Caenorhabditis elegans: one gene and its partners. The protein of the gene in region 3 purifies or fractionates together with the protein of the main gene of each other region. This does not show direct contact. Each region holds a gene or a part of one and is shown on either strand. Other genes may lie near its edges.

What was found. The genes of interacting proteins can lie anywhere in the genome.
Region 1: the proteins of F55H2.7 (region 3) and EGAP2.1 fractionate together in Caenorhabditis elegans (co-fractionation; one large-scale study listed by BioGRID). This does not show direct contact.
Region 2: the proteins of F55H2.7 (region 3) and ZK1236.5 fractionate together in Caenorhabditis elegans (co-fractionation; one large-scale study listed by BioGRID). This does not show direct contact.

The regions. Positions count from the first base shown.
Region 1 is NC_003280.10:5,229,405-5,233,776, reverse strand, and holds EGAP2.1 (DDE_Tnp_ISL3 domain-containing protein), read right to left. Parts: upstream 2,367-4,372; 5' UTR 2,346-2,366; coding exon 2,010-2,345; intron 1,815-2,009; coding exon 1,687-1,814; intron 1,384-1,686; coding exon 1,184-1,383; intron 1,029-1,183; coding exon 878-1,028; intron 827-877; coding exon 616-826; 3' UTR 502-615; downstream 1-501. Other genes in the region: pho-1 (Intestinal acid phosphatase), read left to right, coding at 1-244, 293-356, 434-474; EGAP2.2 (Ribosome biogenesis GTPase RsgA), read right to left, coding at 3,473-3,565, 3,726-3,734.
Region 2 is NC_003281.10:8,431,107-8,433,956, reverse strand, and holds ZK1236.5 (uncharacterized protein), read left to right. Parts: upstream 1-1,742; coding exon 1,743-1,846; intron 1,847-1,897; coding exon 1,898-2,009; intron 2,010-2,055; coding exon 2,056-2,286; 3' UTR 2,287-2,349; downstream 2,350-2,850. Other genes in the region: ZK1236.9 (TPR_REGION domain-containing protein), read left to right, coding at 556-647, 697-797, 850-952, 1,002-1,107, 1,154-1,329; ZK1236.1 (Translation factor GUF1 homolog, mitochondrial), read right to left, coding at 2,434-2,763, 2,813-2,850.
Region 3 is NC_003281.10:9,512,798-9,517,856, forward strand, and holds F55H2.7 (uncharacterized protein), read right to left. Parts: upstream 3,452-5,059; 5' UTR 3,451-3,451; coding exon 3,367-3,450; intron 3,322-3,366; coding exon 3,130-3,321; intron 3,080-3,129; coding exon 3,026-3,079; intron 2,737-3,025; coding exon 2,381-2,736; intron 2,329-2,380; coding exon 2,205-2,328; intron 2,065-2,204; coding exon 1,797-2,064; intron 1,792-1,796; exon of another isoform or gene 1,753-1,791; coding exon of another isoform or gene 1,603-1,752; intron 1,112-1,602; coding exon of another isoform or gene 1,094-1,111; exon of another isoform or gene 1,072-1,093; intron 843-1,071; coding exon 781-842; 3' UTR 547-780; downstream 1-546. Other genes in the region: F55H2.8 (FIP (Fungus-Induced Protein) Related), read left to right, coding at 1,094-1,111, 1,603-1,752; clu-1 (Clustered mitochondria protein homolog), read right to left, coding at 4,495-4,665, 4,714-5,059.

The DNA.
Region 1 (4,372 bases), on a different chromosome or scaffold from region 3:
AGAATACGCTGTAAAACCGTCTGGTGGATATCCATTGTATTCTGCTGCAGTCCTTTTAGAGCTTTACATTGATAGTGTCGACAAGAAACCATACTTCAAAATGGTATATCACGAGCAAGACGGAAGTGGATTCAAAGATGTGACTATGGGAATTCAAGGATGTCCTCAAAATAGTTCATACTGTGATTTAGATATTCTCAGAAACTTTGCCAATACTATCAAGCCAGATCAACCAATCGATCAGGTATTGTTTTTTTTTTGTTTTTGAATTTAATCATGTTAACTTTTCCAGTGGTGCTTAACCGATTTGAACAAGAGTTCCAGCTTTGCTACAGTCTCAATGCTCTTTATTGCAGGTAAACTTTACCTAAAAGCTCACTTTTTCTATTAGAAAAGAATCAAAGTATAATTCTAATTTTTAATTTAATTACAGCAATTCTTGCCATCAACAACAACTTCCTAGGACTGTTTTAATTGTTTTGTTCTTAAATTTGTAAATTATTAGCATTAAATTGTAATTTATTCGCTTCGTTCCAGTGAGATAAATACACGTAAGATCGTACATGGTTATACATAACCATTTCAAAAATAAATTCCCCCCGTAATAAAATTAAATTATGATGTCGTGTATGTCCTGAGCTCCTCCACACATTTTTCGAGCATTCGCTTTCCTTCGGTTTTTCTCACCACTTGATCATTGAACCAACTTTGGAATGCTTGCTCAGAATTGAGTGCACTTTCCGGATGATTTTTGCGAAGATTTGTGAAGAACATATCACTTGGGTTTGAATAGACTTTTGACTCGTCGAAGAATGTTGCGCTTTGACTGAAAAAAAGAAGAAAATTTAAAGAATAGAAATTTAAAGATGTTACCAACCTTGCATAAGCGGTGAAATTTTCATTAACAGTCTTGATCATTGAAACTGATGAATGTGAATTGACTTTTTCCATTTTAACTTTTTCAATTGTACTTGGCATCTCATCAGACATCACAACAGCGAAACAGTTGTTGGAGTTTGCTTCTTGACCTGAAACAATTGTTACAGTTTTAATGTATACGAGCAAGAACAACATGCCTACCAACGTGCCTACAAAGAGTTCTTAAATGAAAGGCAACGTACTCAACCAAGGCTGTGACGAAAGAGTAGGGGATCTTTGAGATGTTTTAAAAACTCATACTCACCTGCCAAAATGGTGTACATGAAGTCGTTTGCCTTTTTTGGCTCAATTCGAATCACTTCTATGTACACCATTCCCTGATTTTGTCCAATTCTGGGATACTTTGATGCGATTTTATCTGTCAGATCATAGACAACTTTCCGAGTTTCATTCACTGTATGCGTTGATAATTTGAGCTCATTGGCCATGTGACTTGTGGAACAGCTGAAAAATTAATTGAACTTTTTGATACCAAGATACGTGTTGAAACTTTTTAAATATTTTTTCAATTAAATTGTTAAAAATTATTCAAGCTTTCAACTACAATGTTTTCAAAGTTGAGTTTTATTCAAAATTTAATTATAATCTAACTTTATTCAACATTGTTTTTATTGACTTTGAATTTTCGCGAAATGAGAAAAAAAACCACCAACTAATCAACAAGGCACATGTCCTACTATTCTGATTGGTCAGAGTTTTATTTCTCACTTTTGCACAAATATAAAATAAAAACCAGCTTTAACTTACTTTTTACAGTGCATGATCAAAAAACTGAAAATAGTTTTGAAGGATAACTTGGTATACTCGAACCAACTTCCAAATTTTATTGAGCAAGACGAGCAGTCCCCTCTCTTATCCTTTGTTCGGCAGCGCCACTGAAAAAAAGAACAACAATTAGAAATTAAAATCTTCACTAGAGGCTCAAAAATGCATGCCTACAAGGCATTTTGCGCTGCCTACTCTACATTTCTTCTAGGCGTAGGTGACAATCAAGACAAGTTAAGTCTGCTTTTTAGACACGTAGGTAAAGCTGACTGATCAATTTTAAATATAGTATAAAAATCTCCAACCTCATAGCAATTCTTTCTCCTTCTCAAATGCATCATTCGATCACACTTTCTGCACTGTTGCCGTTTTTTGAGCAAACCTCTCTGCATCATAGTAGTCACGATTTTTGGATAATTATCAAACTTTTCCACGAGATCATCAATAATCTCATTTGTAGTCGGTGGCCGTTCGTCATCATCCTCCTCTGCCATTGCAGATAAAGATGCTGGTTTGGGAAAGTGAACAGTCTCAAAATGGGGTTCCTGCTCAATTCCTGCATAGAGATCTGCATTCAGTTGGGAGAGCGCATAATGAAGTGGCTGCGAGAAATCAAACTCCTCAAGTCCGTCGGATTCCATGACGAATACTGAAATTTGGAAGTTGATTAGAAAATTAACATTAAATCGACGAGTATATAAATATATCTGAATCGATATTTGTAAGAAAAACGAGGGAAAGGGTTGGTATGAATGAAGAGATGGGGGGGGGGGTGTAGATAGAGAGAAGAGGAAAAGAATGTTAGAGAAAGAGTAGGAAGAGACAGGGGGGGGGCAAGGGGGGTGACACCCCCCTCTCCTTTTCTCTTTTCTTTTACACTATTGATCCAAAACGAGAGTATTATATGTAGTTTGCTGTTCTCGAGAGTCCATCAAATTTTGAGAATCAAACTGGTTTCTAGGTTACTGTACCTATATATAAATAAATTGAATTTGTTTTTGAAACATTGTGTTTGTGGATTCTCAAATTTGTAAACCTCTTGTAAATAAAACCGTTCAGGTTTCAATAGAAGGCAGAAATTTCTTCGTGCCCATTTTATGCCTTCCAAATTTTTACCGTGATCTCCGTATACTTGGGGTTTCCACAGTAGTCGTTTTTTGCAATAAACTTATAAATATTTGAGGATTTATTTAATATAATAGAAGAACGTATCTCAGACGACACGTATGTCGCCTCGCAGGCAGGTAGACAAGATTTTCAGTGGGAAAAAAATGAACATTTATAACCGATTTGCTGGAAATATATTTATTTTACAAGGAAAATGCACTAAAAAACATATCAGAATCTTAATCATATGCAATTTTAAACGAGTTTAGGTTTTCAAGGTTAAAAATTCACAGGGAGGGTTTAATCATAAAAACTGGGACAAAATGAAAAGGGATGCAGTGGAATAAAATAAGCGAGAAGTGATGGAGGAGTGATATGTGATATAGAAGTATCATAGACTAGAATGTCGTTTCTTCGAGCTACAAGCTACACTATCAAAAAAAAATTTGATTGTGTGTGCCACCTCATTGCACATAAATAATTTGAAGAGGTGCTGAATCATCATCCGAGTAGTAGGGATCGTCACGATTCCACCAGTATACAGAAGTCTCGTCAGTGATCGCGCTCTCCTCGTCGGAAACTTCTTCCTCATCAGAATCATTCTCCTTTGCTGGCTCGGCATCCTTAAATTATAAAATTTTCGCATGCACGCACAACAAATTTATTGTAAAGATAGCTGCGGCTCGATAGCTGCGGCTTCAGCAAGCTCCAAACGATCTTGCTCAGCATTTGCTCTTCTTTTCGCGTTGTGAGCCTGAAAGACCATTTTATTTTATAAACATCAGAAGAGCGTTTAAATTTATTAATCTTGAAAAATATATCTAACTGTTACATGACTCCAAAATAAAATGAATTATAAAATTTGTGCATGAACGTGCTGCACATTTATTGCAAACTTTAAGTTTTCACTGTACCTGCTTCATCTGTTAGGTTCTTCCACCAGTTCCTCTGCTTTGCATTTTTTCTTTGTCTGCGCAGTAATGAATATTTATATCGATACTAACAAAATTCTAACAATTCATGTAACAGGGGAGCGATACAAAAAGACAAAACAAAAAGGATAAAGTGAAAAGGTCAAAAATGAAGAAAACTTCGGCTCTTATTCTAGCTGGAATAGGGCGGGGCCTGATGGGGCGGTGACGACGGGTTATCAAAATGAGATTGCGCGCGAGTACGCGGTAGGTCAAAACAAAAAAGAACGAGCGAAAACTTATAAGTCCAGACAGAGTTCTCGATGGAAAATGTGCTGTGCGGTACCTTCTGATTGGCTTCGGCTTTGTATACGACGAGCGAAGGTGTATGTCCTGAGACGTTTAAGTCTGATCAATCGTGGAGCACATCATCCGAGTACTCTGCCTTTAATAAACTATTTAGGGTGTAGTCAGTTCTTGGTTGGGACACTGAAAAGATTAAGGGATTTTTTTCTGTGTGCAGTGTAAAGATTTCCTAAACAACAGGAGCAGAAGATTGAGAAAATGTTCGTTTTTAAAAGAATCTCGTAGAAGCGAGTAAGATGGTGTCCAGATAGTTTTTAAAAAGTATAATATAACAAAAAACCTCA
Region 2 (2,850 bases), 1.1 Mb from region 3:
ACAAATATTTCTCTATATTTCTAGCGCCGACAGCCGAATGAGTGTTTCGGCTGTCGGCTGGCGCCGCCAGCCGAAAATGCTCTATTTCTCGGCAGTCGGCTGGCGCTGCCAGCCGACTGAGCTTTATGGTTGGAGTTTTGTCGCTGAACTGTATTTTTGCACGTTGTTTTCTTAAAGTGTTTCGGAGCGATTAAGCATACTTTTAGTACAAAAACAATTATAGCAAACTATTTAATCACTTTATCCAACAAAAATAACCACATCGGCTTACTTTTTCCATATATAAAACTTGCAACTAGTGTTCAAAAATATCAAAAATCAGTTAATTTGTTTAAAACCGCCAGCCGAAAACTCTAACACAAAGGTCGTCTGTCGGCTGGTGCTACCAGCCAAAAAAGTCCAATTTTTCGGCTGTCGGCTGGCTGCGCCAGCCGACAGCCGCACGTACCTGGTAGGGACTACAAATTTTGAATAAAATAATAGTTCCGAAAAATCAAGCTTTCTTAAAATCTTTCTAACTTTACTCAATTTTCTCTCTAGACTATTAATTTCCAGATTCCACAATGAACGAACCCAACAATCGATTTGTTGGATCAAGACCAGCGACATCAGGATCATTCAATAAAGAAGGAACTCCGACAACTCCAGTATGTTTCTGTGACAGCTTTTATAAACAGGCAAAAGAAAACATTTCAGAATCTATTTTCATTGTCTAATTCGGAAGAGCGAATTTCTCAATTCACACTGCCAAACTATGTAGAACAGCCAACTTCATCGATAAATCAACAAACTGGAAGGTACAGTTTTTGGTTTTCAATAGACTTTGGAAATTATTTTTTCTTGTTTCAGAGTGGTGAAAAAAGCTCAAGGAGAGGTTGACCTGAGTGGAGAAGAGCTTATGCCATTTCTATATAAAGCTGCTGAAAGGCTCCGAGAGATGAAGGATAAACAGGTTTTAAATAAATAAATTAAATGAATATATACAAATCATCTACTTTCAGACAAAAGCTGAAGGCATTAAGTTAAGATTTGGCTCTCTGGCAAAATTAATCAGTGAAGAAAAATTATCAGATGAACTTATAAAAAGTCTGAATTATGTAGTTGATTGTAAGAATACACAAGATTATTTTCAAATTAATAAATTATTTTTCAGCTCTTGAATTTGAGAAATATCAAGAAGCGATGAACTACTATGATCAATTTTGCAAGAAAATTCCAAATGAAATAGCAAAAAGTTGGTATTGGCTGTCATCTCTCAAAATGTTGATAAATGAATTAAATGTTTCGAGGAGAGGCGGATCTGCTGGATCACATCTTAGGAGCTTATAGAACATTTATTCGTTTGTCTTTTAAATTTATGTAAATAATGCCATTTTCCACTAATTATTTCCCAAATTCCTCAACTTGTTGCCGTATTTAACTTTTATTTCGAATATTTTAGGCCAGAAAGGGTATTTGTTATTTCGCATGGTTTCTCAGAACAATAATAAATGTGAATCAGGTTTCAATCATATTTCGAACTTTATTTGATCTATGTTTTACATCAACTTTTAGTTTCTTTGGCAAAATTCCAAAATATTTCCAACGACGCTCCGAAGTAACGACAGCGCGCTCTCTTTATCGTAAATCTACATCTCTGTTTTATTCATTTTTGCTCCGAATATGTATTTTCGGTGATTTCTTTTAGATTACTGTGTTTTTCTTGTTAATTTTGTCTAAATTTACTGATTTTATGGTTTTAGATGCAATTATCCCGCGCTCTATATCGAAATCTCAACACACGTCATTGGAATCGTCGTATTTGGGAGGTCGGATACCGAGGACCGATTCTTCCTCAACAAAAAGCGTATGTTCTTAATGAATTTTAATAATTTCAAATCGAAAACTTGATTTTCAGCACCGGACGTCCAGACTATCCAGTTTCCGCAAATCGCGTCAATATTCTACGGGAGAGGCTTGCCAGAGAGCAAATTGTGATGAATCTTCTCACTCGCCCGTATTCGACAGCGGTTAGTTATATTGATAGTTAAATATCACTAATAATTTAAATTATAGTATGCAGAACTGACGTATCTGGAAACTGAAAAGAATGTGAAATCGTTGGAAGAACTGCGAGCAAAAGAATACAAAAAGCTTGATGAACAGCGAATGCCCGGAAAACCAAAAAATACGGAAGGTTCCAAGTCGACTATCAGGAAGAAAGCTAATGTTGGAAATCTTCTTCATACCCACACAACTGTTGAAGATTCTTTAGCTGGATTGGCGGCAAGAAAACGATGGGACTGAGCGAATCTTTTAATTGTTGTAATTATAGTTTTGTTGTAGTGAACAATAAAAACCTTTAAAATTGTTATATTAAAACAAAAAAAACAAAAATGAAAACAAGAATAAACAATTAACCTACACACTCTAGTATCTAAATATTTAAAAACACTATCTCTTAAGAACATTTAGGAACGCTTCTTTAGGAATCTGCACATTTCCAACCATTTTCATCCGCTCTTTTCCTTTCTTCTGATGACTGAGTTTCTTATTGAGTCGTTCCATTCCTCCACCACCAAAGTTTCCCTTCAATAGCTGCGAGAAGTCTCGTTTCATTGGCTGGATAACAATTTGAGATAATGCTTTCGTTGAGGAACCAATGCAAGCTTTAATTGTAACTTCAAATTGCTGTCGTGGAATTTCTCGTTTCAGACGTTGAACTAAGATCTTTGCACGATCTCTCGCCATTGCCGCTGGTATGATTTGCGAGAATTCACTGACCTTAAATTAAATTTTAATGATAAAATTTTAAAACAAAACCAATTCCCACCTCTTTACTGTTGATAAGAATTGTAAGTTTCACCAGCC
Region 3 (5,059 bases):
TGTCGAAAAATCTAAAATTTTCATTTTTTCGAATAATTTTTTAATGTCTGTTTAGTTTTTTGAACATTTTGTTTTCGGAAAATCGAAAATTTTTCGACGACACCCTTGCTCCCAGTGACCAGGAATGGGTGGCGATTCTACAAAATTACCTATTGCACCATGTTGTTCCAACATTTTCATCAAAAATTTGTGTCGCACTATAGAGAATCACATGATTTATCTGGAATTTACAATAATTTCATCTAAAAACTGATAAAAAATGGCCTAAAAGTTGCCAATTGCCGGAAAACAAAACTCGTTAATTCGGTAATCCGCAATCGAGAATTTTCAGGCCCTTTTTGGTAACTTTTTAGCAGAAATTATTGTTTTTTTTAGATAATGTTGGAAAAACATGGCGCAATAAGTAATTTTTGTAGAATTGTCGCCTATCCTTGCCCCGTTGTCCCATATCCCCCGTATTTATTTATTTCTACAATTTTACGATCTCATCTCTCCATGTTCACTAATTGCCTAATCAAATTTCTATCTGAATGCATCGAGCCTATATAAATTCAGAAATAAATATTTATGCACCTGTTAAAACCGAAGTTAAAATGCAAATGAAACAAAAAATTGGGCTGAAAGTTAAATAACCGTAAAATAAATAAGTATTATAAAATCGGGGAGAAATAAACGAATAACCAGTACTAGAATTGATACAAATATACAGTTACATATTGTAGTGAGATAATACACATTTTAAGAGATCGAATAGTAATAATGAGAATGTTATATGACAAATTAAATGTCTCCTTGACTTGAAAGTGACCGCATTCTTTTCTGTCGTCGACGTGGAGAAAGAACTGGAATTTGTGATCTTTGTATCTTTTACTTTTAGTTATTCAAAACATATATATCAAAACAAACACTCGAATTAAGGCCAATTTATTCAATTAACTAAAGGTTGACTGAGAGAATGAGGAAGTTCCTTATGATTTATTTCATGTTTTTCAGTGCGCCTAAGACATAAAACATGTGATTATGGATGGTATAAATTCAGAGGAAATGTTCAATATTTTCAAATTATTCACTTGAAAACTTCAACTTGGCAATAATGAGAATTGTATCTTTCGTAAGTTTAAAAAAATTATTTTACCTAAAGGTGACCCCAAAAGGTTAATTTAAAATTTCGAAAAAAAAAACGTCCTAATTCTAGCTAAAACATCAATTTTGGACAATCTTTCCGTGTCGCAGCAGCCGGAATTTAGGTTTTTTTTTTAATTTAATTTTTTTTAAATGTCTCACAATATTTTTGTTAATTTAGAATTTTTAAATTTGAATACCTTTCGGATTTAATTATACCGAAAGGAACTAAAAATCGAAAAATGTGCAAATAGAACAATAATAAATGTATAAAAAAATTCCCGGCCATTGTAACACAAAAAAAGAAAATCCGGAATTTTAGCTAAAATTAACATATTTTCGAAATTTTGAACGCAATAAAAATTTTTGAGAAATTTTTCAAGTTTCGTTATGAAATCCGATTTTTTTCTGGTAATTTTGAGTTAAAAAACATTAGCCTTAATCTATAAAAAATAGTTCTTATTATTAAATCAATTTCAGATGTTGGTTGTTCTTATTTCAATGCTCTTTATCAATGAAATAATGGCACAAAGTACTGGAAAAGGATGTAAAGTTCCTTCACAATGCAAACCTCGTAAAGATTTTGATCATATTTGTTATCACGGAGTTTGCCATTATTACCCTAATTGAATCAATTGTAGCAATTTTTCTTCAAGAAAATAAAATAATCTTACTCGATGTTTTCTCAGTCGTCTTTTCCACTGTATTTGCTTTCAGCATAAGCCAATTCGCTTTAATTTCATTTTCTCCATATTCGTACTCGACATTTGCTCGTTTCGACTTTTCTACAAACATCACACTTTCTCGTGATTTTCTTTGATTTCTTTTCAAAGCCGCTTCCTGACGTTCGGCTCGTAATCGAGCATTCAAAACAATTCTTTCCATTGTTTGAGTAATTCCTTGAGTTCGAGCCTTATTGCGATGTTCATCGGTTCTTTCGTGCTGAAAAATCAAGTTTTAAATGTTCAATTTTCTATAAATTCACGATTTTTTGTTTTTTTTCTCTCTTGTGGAATTTCTGAATTTCTGAATATTTCGATTTTATAAAATCTCCTCAAAATTTCGAATTTCTCTATTCTTACATCTTTCCTGTCTCCAAGAATCGTTTTTTGGCAGAACTGACAATAATTATCTCGTTCATCAAATTTGAAAGTCTTCTTAGATGGCTCATATTTTCCCTTCAAAAATGAATCGTATTCTCGTTGCCTGAAATAATTGCATTTACATATAAATAGAAGAAAAACAATTTACTAAATACCTTCTTTCCACAAGTGACGATTCTGCTGCTTTAAAAATTGAAAATCCTGTGTCTCTTCCAGAATAAACAATTGAAAATGATTCTTTCGAGACATTCCGAATTTCTGGTCTTTTTCCAGGAACATCAATTCTTAGAAAACATCGTTCTTCCTTCGGCCGACTCGACGTCTGATCACTGCTGACACGTGGCATTCTTGGCACAAGTCTCGGAGTCGTTCGTTCAATTTTTGCACTATTCTCCCGGCCGAATGATGGTTTTCCACGAATTGTACTATTTGATGTAGTTGCTGATGTCGTTTTTCCTTGGCGATCCAGCCATGTATTCATTTGATTTAAAAATCTTTCCGGTGTTCTGACCTGAAAATATTGGAAAATTTAAAGAATTAGGGGGAAGTCGAAAAATTTCAAAATTTAGTTTTTTAGTTGCTAAAAATTGAACATTTTATTTTATGATTTTTTTTTTTTGAAAAAAAGCGTTATTTCCAATATGTCTCATCAAACAACTTGTCTTATTCCATTTTTTTGAGAAATTTGTTTGCCCACTTAATTTATATAATTTTTTGCTGTTAATTTCTGAAAGAACAGTAATTTTCAAATTTGTCAACCAAATTTTTAATTTTTTTGGGTTTTTTGGCGATTTTCTTACTTTAATATTTCTGTTCACTGCTTGTCGAAGAAGTGCGGGCATTATTTTGAGCATCTGAAATTTGATTAATTTATTTATTTTTAATTTTACCAGTAAAAGTGTACCTTTTCATTTTTAAAAAGAGGGTCATCTTTCTTTGCTTTTTCTAATTTTTGAGCCATCGGGTGATCGGAGATGACACATTGTGGGGAAGCATCATCAAATGAATCAATTATTGTAGCACCAGAAATATGTAATCCTTCTGCCACGTTTGTTCGTAGAATACGATTTTCAATTTCGAGCAGAAATGATCTTCCCTGAAATTCATAATTTTGTTTTTTTTACTTTAAATATTCTCTCACAATGAGCGGTTTTCCTTTTTCATCATTTTGTCCCTCATTCGGAATTCCTCTACTCGTTGATTGTCGTCTCCAATCACTCGCCATTCTATGAAAAACAAATTTAATTATAAGAGAGAAAAAGCTTTAAAGTCTCTCATTTTTAGAGGACAATTACATTTTTATAATTTTTTTGTTCATCAACATGAACAAAATCGGATAAAATTTTTTATGGTTTAAAACATTTAACAAAAAAAATGCAAAAACAAGAAAATATAATTTTCTACTGCTAAAAAAATAAAATGGACACAATTTTCAGTTTTTGCAACTTTTTTTCTTAAATAATGGAAGTTATATATTTTTTTTCTGACAAATTGGAAAAAGCGATACTCTTGATTAACAAATTCATATTTTTGTTCACAAGATATTTCAAAATATTTAAAGAATGAAACTTTAAGTTTTCTGAAAATTTTAGAACTGAAACAAAAAATAGATTTTCAGATTTTATTATTGGAGAAAGAACAAAACAATAAACATTTTATAACAGTTGATTGGAAAATTTAAAAAAAAACGAAAATTCATACTAAACTACAAGGCTTTGAATCCTAAGGCAAAAAAACAGGTAACGAGGAGAACAAACGCATCAGTGTAACAAAAGATGGAGTGTACTCGGATTATCAGAGATGTATATTTTTTAAATGATTAGTTTTTCGATGGACACTCGTGTCAGAACGACAGTCATAACATGTATGAAGGAAATGGGTTACAGATAGATGGAGAAGACAATGAAAACGGGAACATGTGATTGATTAAGTTGTGGGAAATGAGGGAAATGCTCCTGAGCAAATTTGAAAATTTCAGGCTGATTTTTGGAATTGAGCAAATGTTTTTGGTTATCAGAGAAAGAAACGGTGCAATTATCTCATATAATTATTTCAAAAAAGCAACGAAAATGCGGTCACGGTTTTCTAACAAAAAAAAAGTTATTTACTAAACTGATATCTACACCTAAAAAAACAAAACAAAAAGAAACAAAAACTGATCTATATGCTATACACTATTAAAAACTAAAATAATCAACGAACAAGTAATTCTAAATTTTTTGAAATTTGATAAACAACTTCCAAAAAATTGGGTGATATCTAATCAATTCTAATCGAGAGTCTCATTGTCAAGCTGAGCAGCAACATCTGTAGTCTTGCTCTCTTCAGTCGTCCCATTTTGCTGTTTTCCGAGAGAAGACAATCCAGGAACACCAATGATCAGTATTCCGTTGATGATGTTTAAGGTATCAAATAGAGAGGTAACTGTTGGAGGTTGAGCCTATAAAAATATTGCGATTTTTTTGCTATTGTGAAAATTTAATATTACCTGGAACAATTCAGTAATGTTTGTACTATTGTCAAGTTTCAACATTTTCTTTTGGAATGTAACAGCTTGTTGAGTAAGCGTGCGAAGATATTCACTCGATTCGTTGACTCTTGGGTGATTTGGTCCATAGAGTTCGGAATAAATAGCGAATGTTTCCTTTTCAGCAACTAGAGCAGCTCGGAAATCTCCACGAGCCGCATGTGTTCGGGCAATCAAATTGGAAATCAATCCAGTCTTCAGCTTTCTCGGTTCTCCAATAGTTTTTGTGATAGCATCAGCCGATTGCAAGTACTTCAAAGCTGTGTCGAACTCTTGAACAGTGAACAAAATGAGTCCAATGTTGGCA